Arabidopsis thaliana: one gene and its partners. The protein of the gene in region 1 interacts with the protein of each later gene in a pairwise test. Each region holds a gene or a part of one and is shown on either strand. Other genes may lie near its edges.

Region 1 (7,411 bases):
CTATATGTGTCGATGGTAGAATTACAAGGAGCTAGAGAACCACTTATTTAACTATGCAGTTTTGTATTGTTGTAAGATAATGGCATAAACTGATACAATTGAAAGTTTTTCCATAAACTCAGCAAGTTTGATAAAATGTTTGTTGTGTTTCTGTGACGATTGAGATTGTCGGCTTAAGGCGGTAGTATGCCAGAGTTGCCGGTGTTGTGTGTTTCATATGGTTTAAAGTCTTGATTTAGATAGAGTTCTACCTAAATACAAGTTTGGTTATGAAGAGCCATATGATAGAATGAAACCATAGATCACGAAACTTTGATCATGTGTTTGCCATGGTGTCATCTTTCTGTTTTTCAGCGGATTCGTTTATATGGACATGAGCATAGCTAGAGAAATAAACTTGAAAACCCAAACCTTGTTTTCCTCATTGTTACAAGGGAAACAACAAATTTTAGCATCCAGTTTTTTTTTCAAAGTACTTTAAAAAGAGGGCTCACTGTTTTGCTCATTGCAAGCTTAATTTTCAGATTGTAGCTAGAAACATCCGAATTTATTTAATGTAAGGATTCGAAATGGAATCCGTTTGTTAAGAGGTCTTACAGTTTCGTGAATATATCTATATCACCGTCTAATACGAAAAGCTGCAAAATACCGACAAGACCAGACCAAAACCAAAAGTCAGCAAGAGAATAAGTTGAGAAAATGTGAATCGACAAGATAATTAAAAAAGGGCAAGAGCTTGAAAACTTATGTACATTGGGATTAATATAAACAATAAAAAGACTTCAAGAGATCTTTGGAAGAAGGAAAAAAATACATCCATAAAAAGAACCGATACCAGCCTCCGACTACAACTCCACACCATCATATTCTACTTATAAAAGAGCTTTTCATATTCTACTATATAATACCTGTAACCTTTTTATGTTTTACTTTATAATATCTATTAATTATTATTAGATAGATAATAAGGGTGATGGAAGATGCTAATTATCTAAGTGGCCAACAAAATACTTCAAAAATTGCATTTTTAATATCTTATCTTAAACCCATCATCCCATTTTGCTCTCCAGTCTCCACCAATCGACCCCCATCCTGCTGTCATTAACAGAACAAACATCAGTCGAATGTAATGACATAAACTTTTGGCTGTGTCTCTAGTCTACTAATATCTCAAAAGCTTTTACATACCTCGGCTTGCAGCAAAAGGGTTGTTGGTTATTTTGTTTGTTTAAGAGTTCCCAGCGCTGGACAATGAAGGATTTGATGCAGACTTGGCGTCCTTTGCATCTGATCCTTCCCCAACAACTGCTTCTTCCTCGCTCCTACAGCTTAAAGTCCCCGGGTTCATCTTCCTCACTTCCTCTTTCGTGTATATGAAGATTTTGCGAACCATGCAACAAAACTCCCTGCAAGAGAGATCATTGTGTCAGTGTTATAAGAAAAACACTAACATCGATATAAACTAAGATGGAAAATTTGCAAAATCTTACTGCCAAGGATCGTCACCAACAAGCATCATATCATTCTCTTCATCTGTGTAAACTATCAACCAATCTTTCTTAGGAGCCATCAACTCTCCATTGAACTCAAACAGCCTGTCCAGCTCAGCGACTAACTCCTCATAGTTTTGGAACTTTGAAAGATCCACTGAACGGCCAAGTGCAATTCCCTGCTTGTGAACCTTTACATCAATGTGTCATGTGTTAGTTGAAAAGTGATTCAAGGGTTATCACAACCTCATACACTTTGTGCTACATATTGCAAAAATTTACCTTTGTGCAACTCCTACTTGAGTTGGTTTTCGTTTGAGCATCCTTCGGATGAGGATTATTAGTCTGGAATGGTCTTCCCTGTTCACGATGATCGTTTGTTGATTTTGACCCTTTTGACTGATCTGAAAGGTCCTGAACCTTTGGTGATGCTATCTGTGTAAGCCCCGCAGCATCATTCAAGTTGTTTCTCTGAGACATGGTTGAGTCTGTCCCATTCATGTTGTTGGTCAGAGGAATGCCAAAGAGCCTGCAGTTCCCTTCTCTTGACTTTGCTGTCTCCTCTTGTATCGTGAAGGGTTGTTTTGTTACTTGCTCCCTAGCCTGAGCTTGCGCTTGAGCATTGACCACTTCCTCATAATAATTCAAAGCACGTGGACGTATTGGCCAGTTACCACCAGCATTCTCAGTCGATAGACCATTAAGAACAGGATATTCGCTGTATTTAACATTGCATCGCCCTTGGAGAGACGCATCAGTTGCTGCAGGTACCTTAGGAGATTCATGTAACTTCAGGGAGAGACCAGAGTGTATCATCTGCCACTGGTTAGCAAGATAATCGAACTTGCCTTCTGAATCACTCAAGATTCTCTTTGCAGGCATAGAAGGTGATGATGAATGGTCATAAAAAGGTATCCGCTGACCATGGGATGGATCTATGTTAGTCCCAAAGCCGGAGAGCAAATCTGTGTAAGTAGGTTCATGCCTGGCTGAGGACATCCAGTTCTCAGATCCATATCTTCTAGAACCCGAAACCACGTCAACCTTATCATCATCCGCTGAAGATTGCCAGACAACAGAATTCTCAGGAGCATCACACTCTACACTCTCAGTATGTTTCGTCCTCAAGGTCGAGTATTCTTGACCTTGCAAGACCCTTGAAAGTCCGCTTGCTGGTAAAGGGTCCATGTTTGCCTTAGTTGTACCTGTTTTGTGTACAATGAATTAGACTCCCACTGACAAGTTCAATTAAGTTTCAGACGCACTACTATGTGTACTACAGTGGAAGGGGAAGACATTACCTTCTCTGGTAAGCATCGAAGAGTCAGGAGATGAAGGTGCTATATTTGATCTGGGCCTCTTAGGCCTAGGCATTGGAACAGGACTCAAAGCAGGAGGAGCAAGAGCTGGCTCTACTTTCCACGGAGATACTCTATCAGGTCGAGGAATACTAGAAGTCTCATCCCATCTCACCTGAAAGACAATTGAACAATCAGCATTCATTATATTCAAACAATAGTCTTGATCCTCTCTAGAAACTAGGTCATACCTTGAGGGATCTCCACTTTGATTTTGGCCACCTAGTAGGATCAGACTCTTCAATCCCAACGATTGTGCCAGTAAACCTAATATAAATCAATACAACTTGTTAGGTTCGTTATTCCAAGAGAAAAAGGCTCAAGAGCTAACATATTTCAAAAGCAGAAGACAGGTTTTACCTCTGCTCAGGAGCCTCTTCGCCTTCAAATCTCATTTTGAATCTCATGCCAATAGAGTAGTTATTCTTAACAGACTCCATATACTGATCGAACGGAACAATAAACTCAGATGGGCTCGTCCTGTATTAAACAAAACAACACCGCATGAAAATTTAGTAGAGTGATTCACTACCAAGCATCAGACATATAGAGACATACAAAGCAAAGAGCTCAAAAAACTGAAAGCTGTTTTGTGAGCTAATACAAATACAAACCTGGGTTTGTAGTAGACTGTAAACATAGTCCCTGTTGAAATGGCATGCCATGCGGTGGCCAGTACTCCAAGATGCATGCTATGGCTAGATATAACAGAAGACGGCACGTTTCCTTGTTGTCGCATCGCACGCCTTACACCAACTCTTAATTCTCCATTCTCGCCCCTGTAGAAGATTAAGATATTCCACATTATAGAAACTAACAGATACAGCTAAAGAAAACAATGAACTAAAATCCACAAACCTTAGAAATATAAACGCATCGCCTGCAACTAGCCTTTTGGAGCTAACAAACACACTCCACCCACTCTGTAGCAAATGCCTCCGTGGTTGACCTGGTCCATTATCACAAACATCAACAACCAGATAAGTTTGATGACACACAGACTCGAGAAAAACAGAAAATAAAAAAGTTACAGATTCCTATACCCCGGAATATATGTCTGAATCGCCACTCATTTGCATGCAAATCCTTTGCAACTAACTCTTGAGTGGGAGGCTGTCGAGACATATCCTGAGGGAAGAAACAAAAAATGAATTGAAGGCAATCTTAGAACAAAATTCAGGAAAAATAAGCCAATGAATAGATAGTTAGAAGCGCAAATGAAACACCAACCAGAGGTGGGAGACATTCATCCGCATGTCGCCTAAGAACAGAAAATCCACCATGTGTACTTGTGTCGGATGCAGTCAAGGTTTTGCAGAACGAATGCACCTGGAACCTCGGAGGTGGAGGAAGAGGCGCTTCTTTCTCAATTGCATTCTCGTCTTGCTGTATGGAACAAAAAATATATAGAATTCAGCATCTTGAAGAATAAGATCACCTCTACAACACTCAAACCAATAAATCAGAAAACAAAACTTACATTAGCCTCAGGAAGAAGAGTAATCTGCGCATAAACTTCATCTGTATCTGCCTCTGCCTGTAAAATCATAAACAAAACTCTTGTTAGCTGACAATCCAAGACACAGAAACCAAAATTTTCCAAGAAGTTAAAGAAACCTACCTTTAAATCTACATTAATAACTCGACAGAGAAGCTTTGACGGAAGATCATAGAGAGGCATCTGTTGTTCTGCCGCCTGGTTCGTCGAAGCCTCCACCTAATCATAAAACAATGGAAACCGACAAAGTTCATTAGAAAATATCTCAACAGGTACGAATCACAGAGGGGTTAACTCAAAGATTTAGCCAAAAATAGCAAGAACTCATAGATGAAATATCTCACCTGCTCGATGTGTCCTTGAGGAAAATAGAAGACTCGGTCGTCTTGTCTAGGAACCGTCACAAGCGGACCAGCACAAGCGTGCCATAGCTCTCTGTAAAGAGCAGCCTCAGGGTCCACTATGAAGACGAAGAAGAAGAAGATAAATTAGATCAAGTCAGTCTGTAACCAAAACCAAGCTTAAGAAACCCTAAGAAACGGAGACTTACAAGCACGCTCAGCCGCAGCGGATCGGGTAGAATTACTTTTTTGCCCCTCGCCGGCGACGGAGACATTTCTAGTCTCCTTAGGGTCACTAAAACCAGAGGAGGAGAAGTTATCTCCTCCACGATTACCTTTCATTGAAACCTCCGAACTCGCCATACCTTCCGAAGCTCAGATCTGTTTCATCTGGTACCAAATAAGCCTCTAAGCAGACGATATCAACAAGAAATCTCCAAATCCGTCTCTGAAAAAGCTCAAAACTCGCTTCGGTAGTCCACTTGATTCCTTCCTTTGTCTTTATCTCACTAACAAACACAATCACCACTAGTTTAGCTCCTTGACATTACTCGATAAAACTATCAGAGAAGATAAACCCTAGAATCAAACGATAAAACCACCAATTTCACCTCAAATTGCCTCCGATTTAGAGATACGACAACTCCAAAGCTCTCTCTCTCTCTCTCTCGCCGTCCTCGCTAGTCTAGGCTTTATCGGAGTCACAGACGCTTGAATACCGACGACGAGCGATTTTCTCTTGTTTTGTCTCTCAGAGTTTGTCTCTCTAACATTCTCTCTCTTTTTATTTCTTCGTCTTTCCTATCCTTTTGTTTTTCTGGGTATGAGGCGACCAATGGGCTTAACCAGAGGTAGTCAAAACTCAGCTTCAATCATTTCAACCGCGGTAAACTTCTAACCCATATGGATAACCGGCATTCACCGGTTACCATTCCCTCTTTCATACCGGCTATTACCGGTTGTAACCATTTCCGGGGGACCAGGGTCTGCGACCTCACAAAACCAAAGACAAGTGACGATTTTATTTTCTTTCCTCCACTTTTTCTTATTTTTTAATAAAGCCTTTTCAATAGAAAAAATTGACATATCCTTTTCTAAAATTTAATTTTTTAAAAAACAAATTGGAGAAGATAAATTGAAGAAAAGACCCAAATTGCAGACATTTCCAAGTCGTATTTCCCCAGAAATATAGCAATTTAAGTCATCCTAAAATTGTTGACCAAAACAATTCTTGAAAAAACTATGGTCTGGTAGTATTTATTTACTGGTGACTGTGAGTTGAATACTTTTATTTATTTACAGTTACTGTGAGTTGAAAAATAAATACTCAAGTTGCCAAAAAAAATCCATTAGGGGAGAAAATAAATTAAATGTGTAGAGGGGATTAGCAAGTAAGAAAGGCTGCTTTACTTTTTTAGATGGGACTAACGGCGTCAACAAGTCGTGAGCAAGCGTCAACTTTTGATTGGGTAAAGAGGATAACGGTGTTTGGGAAAGAGAGCGTCAATGGGAAAGGTGTTGTGTTTTTATTGGGAAGTGGCTTTGTCGTGCTGTGAACAGGCAGGTCTGGGTGGACGTAGAGAGAACGAGAGAGGGAGAAAAATGCTACGTGGCACCAGAAAAATATGTGCATTTTAGCATTTTAAAGATATTTCGGATGTCATTTTCTATGGTCTTTTGGCTATCGTGCGCCTCTAGGAATTTTCGTCTCGTGAATCTCTCGTACTTTAATTTACCCTGTTTTTCTTTTTATGGAAAAACAAAGACGTTTCATTATCTGTTTTTTATTTTCTCTAATTCAATTACAACTCAGATATATAAAAGATCGTCGAATATTATACGAACCTCAACCATATTTATGATATCCTGATGGCAGAACAAAAAATACGAAGCCTTAACAGTCATTCGATAGTTATTTTAAACTAGTAGTTGATTTTATCTAAAATCATTTGCTGAACAACTAAATTAACTCTTGGATTACCACTTAATACAGCTGGCTAATGGGATGAATCTGCTTCAAAAATTAAATTTCCGTATGCCCCGTCATAATTACATATTTACATATATTGTTGTAAGTGGAAGCGTTAAAAAGGAAGAAAATCTGGTTTATAGACAAGAGTTTATTGTAGTCCACTCATACAGCTGGCAAATAAGATTAATTAGTGTTCCTAAAAAAAAATTAAGTCCAAATTACGAATGAATTAAATCAACCTTTTTCTTTTATAGTAGTATCTACTAAAACGTTGGCCATGTTCTTTTGTTGATTGCTGCGTCAGCTACCTGCGACCCAAAAAAAGTTCTCATCTCTTTTTCACTTTCATTTCTCATTTTTTTCATCTCTGCCGCATCGACTGTAATTCGGCCATTCCGTAGACGCTGGAATTTTCAGCGTCTCAAATTCCCTTTCTCCTATCTCTTCAGATCTGTCGCTGCGACTCTTTCATTCATCTCACCTTCATCTCTCTTTCTTTTTTTCTTTATATTTTATACCGTCGGTGCTTGTCGCAGCGATAAACAAAAGAACAAGGTAAATATCAAATAACTAATCGCGACAAAACTTTTTATTTTCTTCTAATTATTATATATCGTTTAATATTTAACACACGCACACTATTTTGCACAAATTATTTTTAACAACACGTAAACTATCTCTCTGTGAAACACAAAATCTATTGCAAAATTACAAACCATGAAAATCAAATTTGGAAAAAAAAAAAAATCAGG
Region 2 (3,868 bases), on another chromosome or scaffold:
TAACTTTAGTAGATCTAAAGTTGTGTTTCTCTAAATTTCACTAAAATATCTATTTTCCTTATATAAAGATTATGTTTGTCATATTATTTAATTTAAAGATTATAAACTTATGATATAATTTTATGCAAATTGTAAATATAATAACCATTTTAATAAAAGATTTTCTTATATATCATTCATTATTGATTAATATTTTAATCTAAATTACGCATTTTAAGCTAAGATCAATAATATTCATTTTAAATTTTGTTATCAGCTATTCAGCTAATTAAATTGTTTAAGAAATGTATCAGTTTTTATGTCATTTTTTTTCTGTTTACTCATGCTTTTTTTTTTCCCCTTGTTTACTCACAATTTAAAATCGTACTCCGATCTAATTCAAACCAAAATTTAATTACTTGGAAATCTCTTGAATCACATAAAGTGACATACTTACTTGTGTAAAACCCGGACGTCCGCAACCATTACATTCTTATGGTTTCTCAATCAAACAAGTCTATGAAAAAAAAATCAATTCGGTACACACAAAAAGTCTAACATCTTAATTATTATCAGCTAGTCTGTCTTTGACAATTCATGAGTTTTTTTTACTTTTGAATTTTCTTTAGCTTTTTGTCCATGTGTTAGCCATGGATCAGATAACAACAGATTATAAACCATTGGATTTGATACTAAGAACTAGAAGAATAGAGGAAAAAGATCGAGTGGAAATTTAATCAAATGATAGACATTTTAATTACAAAATAAAAAATAATGGTCCGATTTGAACGCCTATCCTTAAAACAAACATCTTGTATATGCACACGGTCGATCTCTAATTATTGATATCCGATGAACAGATTCCGCAAAGATCCTACAAAACCAAAACAACAAGTTAAGTATCAATATATAAGAAAGAGAGTATAGTAGTCATTACTCAATAAGTCATTTTTCTTGAAATATAGAGAAGTAAACTTACTTCCATGTAACATCCCCTCGAAGTAGCCAGTCACCCTCTTTCCCTTGGAAGGTGAATGTATAATTTGTATCTTCTCTGTCGCAATCTTCATCTGATAACCCAAAATTAGATTCAATAGTAGTAAAAAGTTACGTTCTATTTTCAATTGTTTATAGGTTTCTTACTCTAGATTTTGATAAACGTAATTAGTACTTACATTCGGTAAACATAGTGATCAAGGAGTTAGTGAGGGACTCGTAAGAGTTAAAAAGCTTGATATCCACTTTTCTTGCTATTGCCACACCATCCATCTTAACCTTAACATACATTGATGATCTTGATGATATTGACGAAGAAGATGATGATCCCACAGTAGCCGTTGTTGGATTAGATATGTTGTTGTTCATCGCCGTGATCCTCCTACCACGATGATGATACGGGCAATGATGGTGATTACGAATATGACGATGATGATAACTACCATACTTTATCATACATGTTTTTACTGGTGGCCATCCAACAACTTCGCTATTTTCCTCCTCATCACTAAATATTAAAATTAATTATATGTTACAAAAAAATACAAATTATGCCTCTCCATTGAGTTAACTACAAGTCTACAACATCATAACATTTTTGAAAACTACGGAGTCATTTATTATATAATAATACTAGATGTAACTACTTTAACCTAATTGTTGTCAAATACTAAAATAGTCAAGGTACTCACTCGTAAACTATTGAAGACTCGGATTCCAGAGGATCTTCGTCTTCCTCGTTGGGCTGGCCATTCAAGGCAAACAAACGCTGTTTTGGCATATAACAATTTTCCTCCACATTCCCTAACCCAAACGTCGCCTCAAAACGCAGTTTTTCGGTACCCAAACAAGACGCAGCACCCTCGATCGCACAATGCTTGTTGAGGTCAAAGTTAAACCCTAACTTGGAAGATTTATGAGGTGAAAGAGATAGACCAAGATCCAACTCCATTTCTAAGGCAGCTTCGTCTTTGATGAAACTAAAAGCTTTTGTTCTTTTATTATTGGCTTTGGAAAAGGTTGTGTTCGTTGGTGTTGATTGCTGAATTAGAGGATCATGAGTATTCCTATTTATAGTAAAAGGAAATGGGGGCAGAGGTCAAGGAGTAATATATGGCTTTATCAAAAATATACATATATATGTATATAATATTATGTACATTTTATGTAACCCACACAAATATAGATGTGGATAGATGGTATCTTAACCAACACGCTACTATTTATTCTAAACAACTAAAACAGTAATCATTCAAGTATTAGAATATACTAGTAATTTATATCGTTAAATTCTGAACTTTTAGTTCTATATCTTCTTGGCCCATAATATAGAACATATAGTTGGCTAGGATAATTATTATCTTAAAATGTTTCATAGTAGTATGTAAATCTAGACCCAACATGACTGAAGTAACGTTTCACCAGATAACTTATCTTTTTACGAATATTCATCTCTATAAGATCCAATGAAGTACGAAATCATATAGTTTAGGAAGTAACACAAAACCAATAGTCTATACCAAAAACAGGTGATACTAAACAGTTTTAGATTTTCTGATTTTTATGAATATATGAAATTTATGGCTTTCACGTTAAGCGAAAGGTAGTGAGGAAGTTCCTAGTTCTCCGAAGGAAAAAGGTCTTTTGGGAGAGAAGTAATGGCTTCCGACATTGATTAAGTTCGGGTCGGCCAATATCCCAACATTGATGCTAACACATTTTTACATTATTTTATCTAAAGTTTTATGCTTTTCTGCTTTAAATACATCTTATAAATTTTATTTTTATATTCAAGATCCACCTTATCTACACTGTATAACAAGTTCTCACCTACTTTTAATTTCAAATTTTGATCAAAACATAACATTATTACAAACGATTATATCATAAATTCCGCTCATTATATAATGAGCAAAACTTGCAAAATAAATTTATGGAAGGATTTACGGCTGCTAACTTGTGTTAGATGTGCGTCTTTAATTCATACTTTTGGCAATATGACAATCAACATATTTTAAAAAAAAAAATTAAGCATGTACTAAAAGAATGATAAAGTGCATCTATACTAAGAAATAAGAAGATGCATATTTCGTCAAGAGACACATGATTCAACGAATTTAGACATCCAACATCAAACCAACACGAATATTAGTAATAGACAAGTTTGGTTAATGTTGGAACGGACAACGTCCCATATTTTTGTTTACATTCTATGTTTCCAATAGAAAATTTGGTTTCGCACGGAAAAGGTGGAATTTAAGAATCATTGTATACAATACTATAAATGTGATACTTAAACTGATAACTGTAAGTAATACTCCTAGCAAACTCTGATTTTTCAGCTTGTCATAACTTTTGTTAACCTTTTAAGAGACAAAACTATCACTAGACATTTATAGCTTGACTCACTATACAAGTATTGACTTCATCAGTTGCAATTTTGTGGGGAAGAGTTGGATCAAATTATGAATAAGGGCTATTAAGTACGGTTTGCCTATCCTGAGGTACTTTGCTCTATATGGGAAGGAACATAGTTATTACTTTTTATAAACATAAATTTTGACAACTGTTGTTTTTATTGTAACCAACAAATTGAGGATCTTTATAGCTTATAGTTTCTTTGGATTGATTACGTAAACTAATTGAAACGACTAGTACCTCCTCCCCTATTTGACTAGGATACAATCATACAACGTAACAGGTTGAATTGCCGACATATGATTTTATTAAAACCAGTGTTTAAAAACTGATATTAGACTATCTGGTCGAACCAAATTCATTTATAAACAAAATAAAGCAACACAATTACCATGAAGACTAGAAAAATACGATAAGTAAAGCTATAAAAATATGGTGTTGTTTCAATTTTTAATTATCTTGTTTTACTCTTAAT
Region 3 (4,751 bases), on another chromosome or scaffold:
AGACCTTTTGCTGATTTATAAAAACTGACTTTAGTTAATATTGGTTTTTAATTTCTGTAATTTTTGGACCCTAAAACCTTAAAGAAAATTGAAAAAAAAATTGAGGACCCTGTGCTTTTGCTCCTCTAGCACTCCCCTAGAGCCGGCACTGGTGCGACATTTTGCAACAAATGAAACAACGGAATTTTCCAACTCATTATGTTGCGGCTATCGCTTTACATATGTTTCGAAAATGTTTCTTTTTTGGTTTGGTTAAAAGTTAAAACATATACCATTATTTAGCTACCAAAAAATGTTATTATCAAACTATTTGGCTGCATCAATTTCAATGGTTATATTGTTTAACCACAACACTCATCTGGTAATGAGAAGGACAACTTCGAATAAAATTTTTAAGATGAATACAAGTCGGCCAAGTGATGCTTGTGGTATGAATATATTTATCACGAAAACAATGTGCTAAATTAAACATATCTATAGTGATGTTTTAGTCGATCCACCAAGACACTGTCCAATAAGTTACAATGTGTATGTATGATTTAAAAAGTCAGGATAAAAAGCTGCTAAATTCTGCACCTAGAAGAACAAAAGAGATGATATAGCCACCAAAATTATCACGACATGGACTGATCTCATTCTGAAAAGTCTTTTTTGAGTTTTCAACTTCCAATCTTATCTTCTTATATACATGCATACTCAGGTTAAATAGTAAAAACAAGAAGAAAAAAAAAGACAACAACAAAAACAACAATAATGGCCTTTCATTCTCAGCTTTTTACATGATTAAAGGTATAGCCAAAGTTGGAAGGAACAAAAGTTAAAAGAGCTTTTACAGAGAATAAAAATTTCATCTTCTTTTTTCAAAAAGAGTTTTGCAGACATGCATGAGATAATTATTACAGTATGTTCTAATTATCTCCTTAATTAATTAAAATGCTTATAAACACAGATTGCTTATGTAATCTCATCGTCTAGTGTCTTGAAGACATGGGAATATCAGATCAGATCAAATGTTTCTCTGGACCAAAAAAAAAGTAAAAAACCAATGATTAACTCTTATATATAACAAAAACCAGATGTACATTTATAAAGCTTTGAGACTCTCTGTCTGAAATAAAAGTTTCTAAAAAGACTCTTCAGTGCATCATCTTCTCTTGCTTACTGCATCCAACTGCAAATATACAGAGGAACCCTTTTAATCATATAGCTCTAATAAATCATCTAAACATATAAGAACAGAAGCTTACATGTCAAGGCAGATGAAATCTCAGAGCTTTTAATCACACGCAGTCTCTTCACAGATGAAACAAACATTCTGTGTTTAAAAACAAAGATTAAAGATCAGTTAGTATGCAAAAAAAGAGGTATAAACAAATCTCCAAGCAAAATTCTATTCTTTAGGTAAAGAATTATCAATTTGAATTACTACTACTATTGATTAAAAGCTGAGAACTTTTGTTGTTATATGATCAAGAATCTAATTCTGCAAAACACTGAATCAGATTCAGAGAACAAAAGGGGAAAAGATTCTTACTGCCATGGAACATCCCCAACAAGCATCTTGTCCCCTTCATTGTCTTCATAGGTTAAAGTAAATTCTCCTTTCCCATCTAATAATCCAATGATAGGTTTCTCTTCTCCTTGACCATCAGAGATATCTCTTTGAGCTATAAACCAACAACATACACAAATCATACTCAGTAAACACAAGTAACACTCCTAAAGAACTAAAAAACAGAATTTGAGATTAAGATTTAACCTGCGAGTAGACCTCTGAAGAGTTTGTCAACGACAAAAGAGAGCTGTTCGTAGCTGTTGTAAGCATTGAGATCAACTTTACGACCAATAGGAACACCATCCATGTTGATCTTGACAAACATTCCTTCCTTCTTGGTTTCAACTTGTTTTTCACCATCATCACTCTTGTTGATTTGACCTCCATGAGAGGATTCGTTACCTAGCTTTGAAGAGCTTGTGCTCGCTAGATTCTTTCTGAACGAACGAACCGGAGGCCAACCCACCACTGGACCAGGAGCAGTTCTTTGAACCAGATATCAAAAGAAACAAGAGACATATGTCAATACCAAACGACAAAAACAGAGCAAAACAGAGTAAATGTTGAAACTTTTAACATGTGAAGGTAAAAAAAAAAACACAGATTGCAGAAGATGGGTCCCTAATGTTCAAGAGAATATCCTCTGTCAAAGCAGTAAGAAAAAATAACAGTGAAGGAAAAAAAAGGAGATTATACCTTTTCTGTGAGATGTGAGGAACAGAAGTGGTTTTGTTGGAAGGAGAGAAGTGATTGCCATTAAAACAGTGGAAAGATTTGTCTTCTGTTTCCTTCTTGATGTTTCTTATCTCTGTGTTCTTCTTCTTGATTGCTGAATGATCTTCTTCATCACCACCGGGTGGTCCAAGCCTTAGCTCAAGTTTCTTCTCCTGATCTGTGTTGTTCTTGTCTTCTTGGTACCATTTCCTTCCTTGTGGAATCAAATCAAGAAGTTTTGGACCGATTTCTCTGTTTCTTGGACAACCTTCCATTGATCAACCCAAGATTCCTTCTATACGTTAACTATGTATGAAATTGAAATCTATAGCTTCACTAAACCCTAAGAACCCCTTTTAAAGAAACAATCCCACAAAACTGAGAGCGAGAGAGAGAAAGAGAGATGTGTAATGAAGGTATGGTAAGAGAGCAGTGGTGGGATTTTATACAAAATCAAAGCTTTTTTTTTCTCTCTCTCGTGCACGCTTTGGTGGGTTCTCTCTCACACAGCCTTACCTTTTTTTCTTTCTCAATTTGTTGTTCTCTCTCTCTAAAGATTCTGAAAGGGACGAGAAGAGAAAAAATAGGAATACAAAGAAAAGGAAATTTGGATTTGTATGAACAAAAAAAAACTCAGAAAAAGGTAAAGCAAAGTAGAGTGACTCCACTTTTACTCCTAAACCCCAAAAGTAGAAATGAAAACTACAATAAATTTACAGATTGCATACCAAGAAAAACAGTAATTGTTCTTGACATGAAAAGAGAATACTGTGAAAAAAAAGAAGTGGGTTTTAACGTTTTTGGTTTTAGGAGTTCTTTTGTGGAGTAAAACACACGCAACCTTGTCTTTTTTTCTGCCTCAAATATCGCTAATTAAGGGTTTGTCTAGTAAAAGAAGCAAAGCGTGCTGTTCTGTTTCTCACAAGTATACGAATTAGAAAAATAATTAAATGCGTAATTCCAATAAACAACTTGACCATTAAAAAAATACTAATAAGAGTAATTAAAATATGATAACAATAAAGGAACTAAGGGAAGATCCCATAATTTATGGTCTGTTTTTAGGACCACTCTCTTATCCACTGTCCATAAGACACATATCCCTATGCTTTTCTAAAAACATTTTTCTATAGGTCGTCATGGTAATTTGATACTTTAATAGTAATACTACCATTCTACAAAGATATACATAAAGCAAATAATAAATGAACATCATGGGAAGATCAATTGAGAGAATTCAAGAAATGGGTGAGGCATTGTATAAACATACGAATCTGCATGGCGTCTCAGTGAGATATATGTAATTATTTATTTATAAATTTGCCACACAATATGTCAATTTGTTAGGTAGCTAAACAATTATTTTGTCAAAAGTTAAAAACAATGTGTACGTGTGGATTACGATGGTATAATTTAATTTGCTTCCCCAACCAAGTAAATAGTCAACTGTTTGTTTGTTTTTCCTAATCAAAAATTTTCTTTTCTCAAATCTACAAAATCAACATATTTTGATAAAAATAACAAAAGAAAAGACTTTAGCAGAAACAATTGTAGTTGGTCCTTTGATCTTAAAAAATGTACATAATTTTGCAGCGTAAATCAAGAACATATTTCAAGTTTTTCAACCAAAGATTGAAGCTATTTTATTTGGTTTTTCAGGAGGGGGAAAAGAATGTACATGTCTCTCCCACGTACGTGTGACACCGATATTACGATAAAGCCGACGTAGAAAAATCTCGAGTGAGAGTTCCGGTCAAGTAAGGAAGGGTAATTTAGGAAATTGAAGAAGGAGTGTGTCTCTAGTCATATCTTGTCGCCGTTTTACCCAACTCCGTGACTTTCTTCCCTCACTGTCAGACAAAACCTTAACCATGGTTAACATAACCTGAACCTCTCCGGTTTAACTTAACCGCACTAACTAGATCCGCACAGACAAACTAGACAGTGGACACATGTTGAAGTTGCACAAGATTTTGAGATCGTACGATAAGGTTTAAATTTGGGCTTTAATCAAAGCCGTAGAAGTGAATAGAGATATAGCAAATGTGACGGCTGTGATTAAAAGAGTACAAAGCAAAGCATCCGATTAAAAAAGTAGCCGACTCAGGAGAAAAGGAACAAAAAAACAACTCGTGAATTGAATGTCATATCAAGGGAAATAAAGAAAAGCAAGTGAGAATAGTGGTGGTGTCAATGATGCTCTTCCTAGAATTTTCACCAAGAAATAAAATTATTTTTATCCACTCACTAATTTTTTTAGTGAACTAAAAAAGGAGTATATGTAAGAAATTGATATCATTTTAACAAAATAAAAAGAGGAATAAAAGAAAAAATAATCCAAATATGGATAAGGTCTGAACTGATCCTCTAGTATAACTGGCCCATGAAAATCACGCTGAAAATGAGCCCAATTGTTGATCATCAATGTTCATGAACTTCATGCCTTTATGGAAAAATGGGTTGACTATTGAGTTTTGACTAC
Region 4 (4,573 bases), on another chromosome or scaffold:
AAGTTCATTTAAAGCAACACAATAATTCTTGTGTTTTTTATTTGCATGTAAAGGTAGACACAAAACTCGAATCTAAAATCAATAATTTTATTTGTTTAGTGACTGATTTGAAAAAAACGCAGAATAAACTAACCTGATTAAAAAAAAAGAGAGTTTATATTGGAGCTTACTGAATTCTATCGATCTAAAGTATAAGATGACAAAAAATTCCTCGTATCATTTGGGTTTAAATATATGATGGGATGGTAAATGGTAATTAAAGCCAATAGTAATAATTTATAAAATAATAACGACAAAACGAAATAAAGGAAGAAAATTTGCAAGAATAACTAACAAAAACTTATAAATTAAGAAAGTAACACAAAACAAAAAAACAGATATACTCTCTATATTATATATAATAATGGTATATTTACCCATTTTTCTCCACCTCATTCTAAGTCCCTCCTTCTCTCTTCACCTCTCATCTCTTTTTCTTTCTTCTCTCAATCTTTTTTTTTTTTCTTTTTTTGTATCACATAACAAACAAACGAGAAGGACAAAATAGATTTTTCAGATACCACTTATGTTATCTGGTTGCTTGAGTTGCCAAGGTTGTATCTTAGGGTATAGTTTTTCTATACATCCAAAATAGTATAGTACAACATTTTATTTCTATCCAAAATAGTACATGTTTTTACTTACAAACACTATTTACTATTTTATAAATTCAAATCCGATTTTAAAAATTCAAACTATTTTGTATGTAGAAAAAATATAGGTTTTTTCTAATAAATTTTATAATTGGAATTTATTTTTTGGAAAAGATATATAACAAAAAAAAAACAAATAGGTGAAAAACTAAACTAAATGTTACTAAATCATTTTACCTCCAATTCAACACTAAAATTGTCTTTTCCTTATCCTTACATGCTATTTTCTTAATTTTTATATATATGGTACTATATTTTTAATTTGTTTGTCAAATATGGTTATTCAGCTAAATCACCCAATAGAGACTCAATAGAGACTGAGAGAGAGAAAAAGAAGGGTTTCTCGTAAAATCTCCAAATTCATTTGAACTTTCCCAAACATTGGAATATGTGTAAGTCCCATAGGAGTAGGACAGAGTCGATAGGGGTGTGATCCTAACATACCAGAGAAAGATCGTCGAATCCTCCATTTCTTTTTATGGCAACCATATTTTAATTATATACTACTATTTATTAATTTAATTGGGTGTGATTTTTACTTCGCGTAATATAAATATGCTTTTTCTACATTTTCCCAATAATTTTGTAAAAGTGTAAAGTCTCTACAAAAACATTGTTTAGTCCTCCTTTTTTGGTCTAAATATTTGTTTAGTCCTATATCCATATTTTGTGACACTACTAGTATTATAAAAACATAACAAATTCTCAAGTTACACTTCTCGTTTTGTTTGGGTCAACCACACAACACCACAAGTTTTACTTGTACAAAGTAATTGTTTGTTTATGTTTTTCTGTTGTATGTATTTTTTTTAATTGGTCAAAAGAAAATATGTTTTAAATAAAAAGGTGAAAAAAGGCCTATGGGATTGGAATAATAAGATAGAAAACAAAATAGCATGCTTTGCTTCCTCCACTAAACTTCCTTTAAGGGCAGAGAGAGAGATAAAAAGATTGATTGCGTGTGTTTCACACCAATAAATCCCTTTATTTTTATTTTTTGGTCTCCAAATTTACTAACTTCTAATAATTTCCAATTTTACCCCTTATTTTTCTTCCTTTGGTTTTAACCTATTCACTGCATTTCCTTGGTATAAAATCCAACTTCTTCTCCTTCAAGAATCTAGAGATAGAGAGAGAGAGAGAACACAAAGTGGGAAAAAAGATAAGAACCCACCATAAAGTTTTAACATTTTTCCCTTCAAAAGGCGAAAGCTTTTGATTTGTATAAAAGTCCCACTTAATCACCTCTCTAGCTTCTCATTCCATTTCCATCTCCTCTCTTTTGTTTTCTAAGTTGCTTCAAGAGTTTTGGATAGTGTAGCAGAGAGATTTTAACTAATGGGTTTATAAAATTTTGTTCTTTTGCGTGAACAAGTTGTCAACTTCTAGACAGATTTTCTTTTTGAAGTGTTTTCTTGTCGAAATTCTTCTTCTTTTGGTCAAAGAACGCAAGATTCTTCTGTAGTTCCTCTAAAAAAAATCCTAATGGAGGGTTATTCAAGAAACGGTGAAATCTCTCCGAAGCTGCTTGACTTGATGATTCCACAAGAGAGAAGAAATTGGTTTCACGATGAGAAAAACTCTGTTTTCAAAACAGAGGAGAAGAAGCTTGAGCTAAAGCTTGGACCACCTGGTGAAGAAGATGATGATGAATCGATGATAAGACACATGAAGAAAGAACCAAAAGACAAATCTATCCTCTCTCTCGCTGGCAAATACTTCTCTCCTTCTTCCACCAAAACCACATCCCATAAAAGGTTTTAAACTTCTCATCTCTTACTTTTTGTTTTTCTCTGTTTTGTATCCTTCTCACATGATGATATTCACTTGTTATTAGCCAATAAGGTCCCATCTATCTGCATAAACTTTGTTCTTGTCTGCTTAAGATTGGATCTCAAAACTTTTCATCTTTTTACCCTTTTCCCATCTGAAAGTTTCAGTCTTTTTACTGCCCTAGTTTTCCTCTGTTTTTAACCTTGAGATTGTTCTTGTCTTACTAACAAGTTTTGTTTTGATGCCTTTGTGTTTTAAAGAACTGCTCCTGGTCCAGTGGTGGGATGGCCTCCGGTTCGATCCTTCAGGAAGAATTTAGCTAGTGGAAGTTCTTCAAAGCTTGGAAATGACTCAACCACCTCCAATGGTGTTACCCTCAAGAACCAAAAGTGTGATGCTGCTGCTAAGACAACAGAACCAAAGAGACAAGGAGGCATGTTTGTGAAGATCAACATGTATGGTGTTCCCATTGGTCGTAAAGTTGATCTCAGTGCTCATAATAGCTATGAGCAGTTATCTTTCACAGTTGACAAGCTCTTCAGAGGTCTTCTTGCAGGTAAATTTGAAACCTTTGTCTCTCTATTGATTATGGTTAAAAAAGGGTTGAATTTTGAACTCTAATTGTTCTTATTTTATCAGCTCAAAGAGACTTTCCATCATCCATAGAAGATGAAAAACCAATCACTGGATTATTAGATGGGAATGGAGAATATACTCTTACATATGAAGACAATGAAGGAGACAAGATGCTTGTAGGAGATGTTCCATGGCAGTAAGAATCTTTTCTTTTCTTTTTCGTTTTTTTCTGAATCTGAGTCAGCTTTTTGTTCTATCTAAAGGAGAAGTATTAGATTCCTAGTCACATATTTATTATATCTTAATCACAGTTTGATTAATAACAAACTTAGTTTGGTTAAGCTATTAAAGATTGTGGACTTTTTGATCACTAAAATTGATTATTTCTTAAATTGTCAGAATGTTTGTGTCTTCGGTGAAGAGGCTGCGTGTGATTAAAACTTCTGAGATTTCTTCAGCATTAACATGTAAGTGTAGGATTTTAATAACATTTTTTAGTTGTTTTGGTGACTCTTTTAAGTGAAGTTCTTAGAATGTTTTTTTGTTGTTTTGAAATTTGCAGATGGAAATGGTAAGCAAGAGAAAATGAGAAGATGAAGAAAAAGATCTTTTACAGCTTTTAAAGAAGTAGAGAGATGTTATTAATTGCATTTTGCCTTTAAACTTTGATGAGTTTTTGGTCTTGGAAAAGTTTCTGATATAAGTCTGATGTACATTCTGGTTTGTTACATCTTCTTTTGGCTTTTGAGATATCATAGAGTTTTGTTGGAACTCAAAGACCAAACAGTGCAATGATGATTTTGGGGTCTTGAGTAAATTTACAAACCCTTTTAGGCATATTATAATAGTCTTCTGTTTTTAAGTTTTGGTAATGATTATTCACACTTGATCAACACTTTTAAGTAATGTAACTCTCCCTATGTCAGCAAAGCATCCTTTTCGAAAAACGGAGAAAAGAAACAATCTTTTTCTCTGCCAAAAAGCTCTTTAGCTTTTATTAAATCTATACTTAGGGTATCCGCTATTGTAATGAACTATGAGAGTGAAAGGTTTTAAAACATTGAACAACTTTTCTTTAAATGAGCTGTTAGGACAGATATTCAAACCATTGTCTAACCACATCTTTCATCTTTGTCTGGACTCTTGGGCAACAAAATTACAGACATCATTAGATTATCATCTTCTGATTATTGATCTACATATTTGATAATACTTGATATGATATAGTTTCTATGTATAATCATCTCTAAATTTATGTTTCTAGTTTAGCTTTTGTGTTTCGTAGAATAGATATATAAAATAAAGGGTTGTTCATAAGCATATGTATTCATACGATCAAATCGTTTAAAAGGAAAAAAGGAAGAAAAAATTGGTGGGTATGGAATATTGATAAAGAGAGTACAAAATAGAAAAATTGAAGAGAAGTCTTTTTCGTTGAGAGTCTTGCCTAACTATTCGAAGCAGCAATATGAGACCTTATAGTTACTTTTTTCCTTTTGCCTTCGAAAATGTTCATTCTATATTCTTTTGAA

Evidence for each region.
Region 2: the proteins of ARF2 (region 1) and IAA29 interact in binary tests that used the Arabidopsis thaliana proteins (3 or more experiments, as listed by UniProt).
Region 3: the proteins of ARF2 (region 1) and PAP1 interact in binary tests that used the Arabidopsis thaliana proteins (3 or more experiments, as listed by UniProt).
Region 4: the proteins of ARF2 (region 1) and IAA18 interact in binary tests that used the Arabidopsis thaliana proteins (3 or more experiments, as listed by UniProt).

Annotation. Positions count from the first base shown.
Region 1 is NC_003076.8:24,908,498-24,915,908, reverse strand, and holds ARF2 (auxin response factor 2), read right to left. Parts: upstream 5,719-7,411; 5' UTR 5,299-5,718; exon of another isoform or gene 5,197-5,298; 5' UTR 5,051-5,196; coding exon 4,897-5,050; intron 4,807-4,896; coding exon 4,691-4,806; intron 4,566-4,690; coding exon 4,470-4,565; intron 4,386-4,469; coding exon 4,329-4,385; intron 4,235-4,328; coding exon 4,079-4,234; intron 3,977-4,078; coding exon 3,892-3,976; intron 3,798-3,891; coding exon 3,707-3,797; intron 3,628-3,706; coding exon 3,463-3,627; intron 3,329-3,462; coding exon 3,209-3,328; intron 3,116-3,208; coding exon 3,040-3,115; intron 2,964-3,039; coding exon 2,792-2,963; intron 2,696-2,791; coding exon 1,773-2,695; intron 1,682-1,772; coding exon 1,491-1,681; intron 1,407-1,490; coding exon 1,229-1,406; 3' UTR 1,189-1,228; intron 1,096-1,188; exon of another isoform or gene 1,093-1,095; coding exon of another isoform or gene 1,036-1,092; 3' UTR 514-1,035; downstream 1-513. UniProt on the Arabidopsis thaliana protein: Auxin response factors (ARFs) are transcriptional factors that bind specifically to the DNA sequence 5'-TGTCTC-3' found in the auxin-responsive promoter elements (AuxREs). Could act as transcriptional activator or repressor.
Region 2 is NC_003075.7:15,581,538-15,585,405, reverse strand, and holds IAA29 (indole-3-acetic acid inducible 29), read right to left. Parts: upstream 2,075-3,868; 5' UTR 1,928-2,074; coding exon 1,668-1,927; intron 1,484-1,667; coding exon 1,155-1,483; coding exon of another isoform or gene 1,144-1,154; exon of another isoform or gene 1,050-1,143; coding exon 959-1,049; intron 854-958; coding exon 778-853; 3' UTR 508-777; downstream 1-507. UniProt on the Arabidopsis thaliana protein: Aux/IAA proteins are short-lived transcriptional factors that function as repressors of early auxin response genes at low auxin concentrations.
Region 3 is NC_003074.8:5,611,665-5,616,415, forward strand, and holds PAP1 (phytochrome-associated protein 1), read right to left. Parts: upstream 3,140-4,751; 5' UTR 2,545-3,139; coding exon 2,252-2,544; intron 2,041-2,251; coding exon 1,760-2,040; intron 1,668-1,759; coding exon 1,535-1,667; intron 1,316-1,534; coding exon 1,248-1,315; coding exon of another isoform or gene 1,222-1,247; exon of another isoform or gene 1,172-1,221; coding exon 1,137-1,171; 3' UTR 539-1,136; downstream 1-538. UniProt on the Arabidopsis thaliana protein: Aux/IAA proteins are short-lived transcriptional factors that function as repressors of early auxin response genes at low auxin concentrations.
Region 4 is NC_003070.9:19,303,493-19,308,065, forward strand, and holds IAA18 (indole-3-acetic acid inducible 18), read left to right. Parts: upstream 1-1,588; 5' UTR 1,589-2,177; coding exon 2,178-2,449; intron 2,450-2,725; coding exon 2,726-3,021; intron 3,022-3,104; coding exon 3,105-3,237; intron 3,238-3,440; coding exon 3,441-3,508; intron 3,509-3,603; coding exon 3,604-3,638; 3' UTR 3,639-4,026; downstream 4,027-4,573. UniProt on the Arabidopsis thaliana protein: Aux/IAA proteins are short-lived transcriptional factors that function as repressors of early auxin response genes at low auxin concentrations.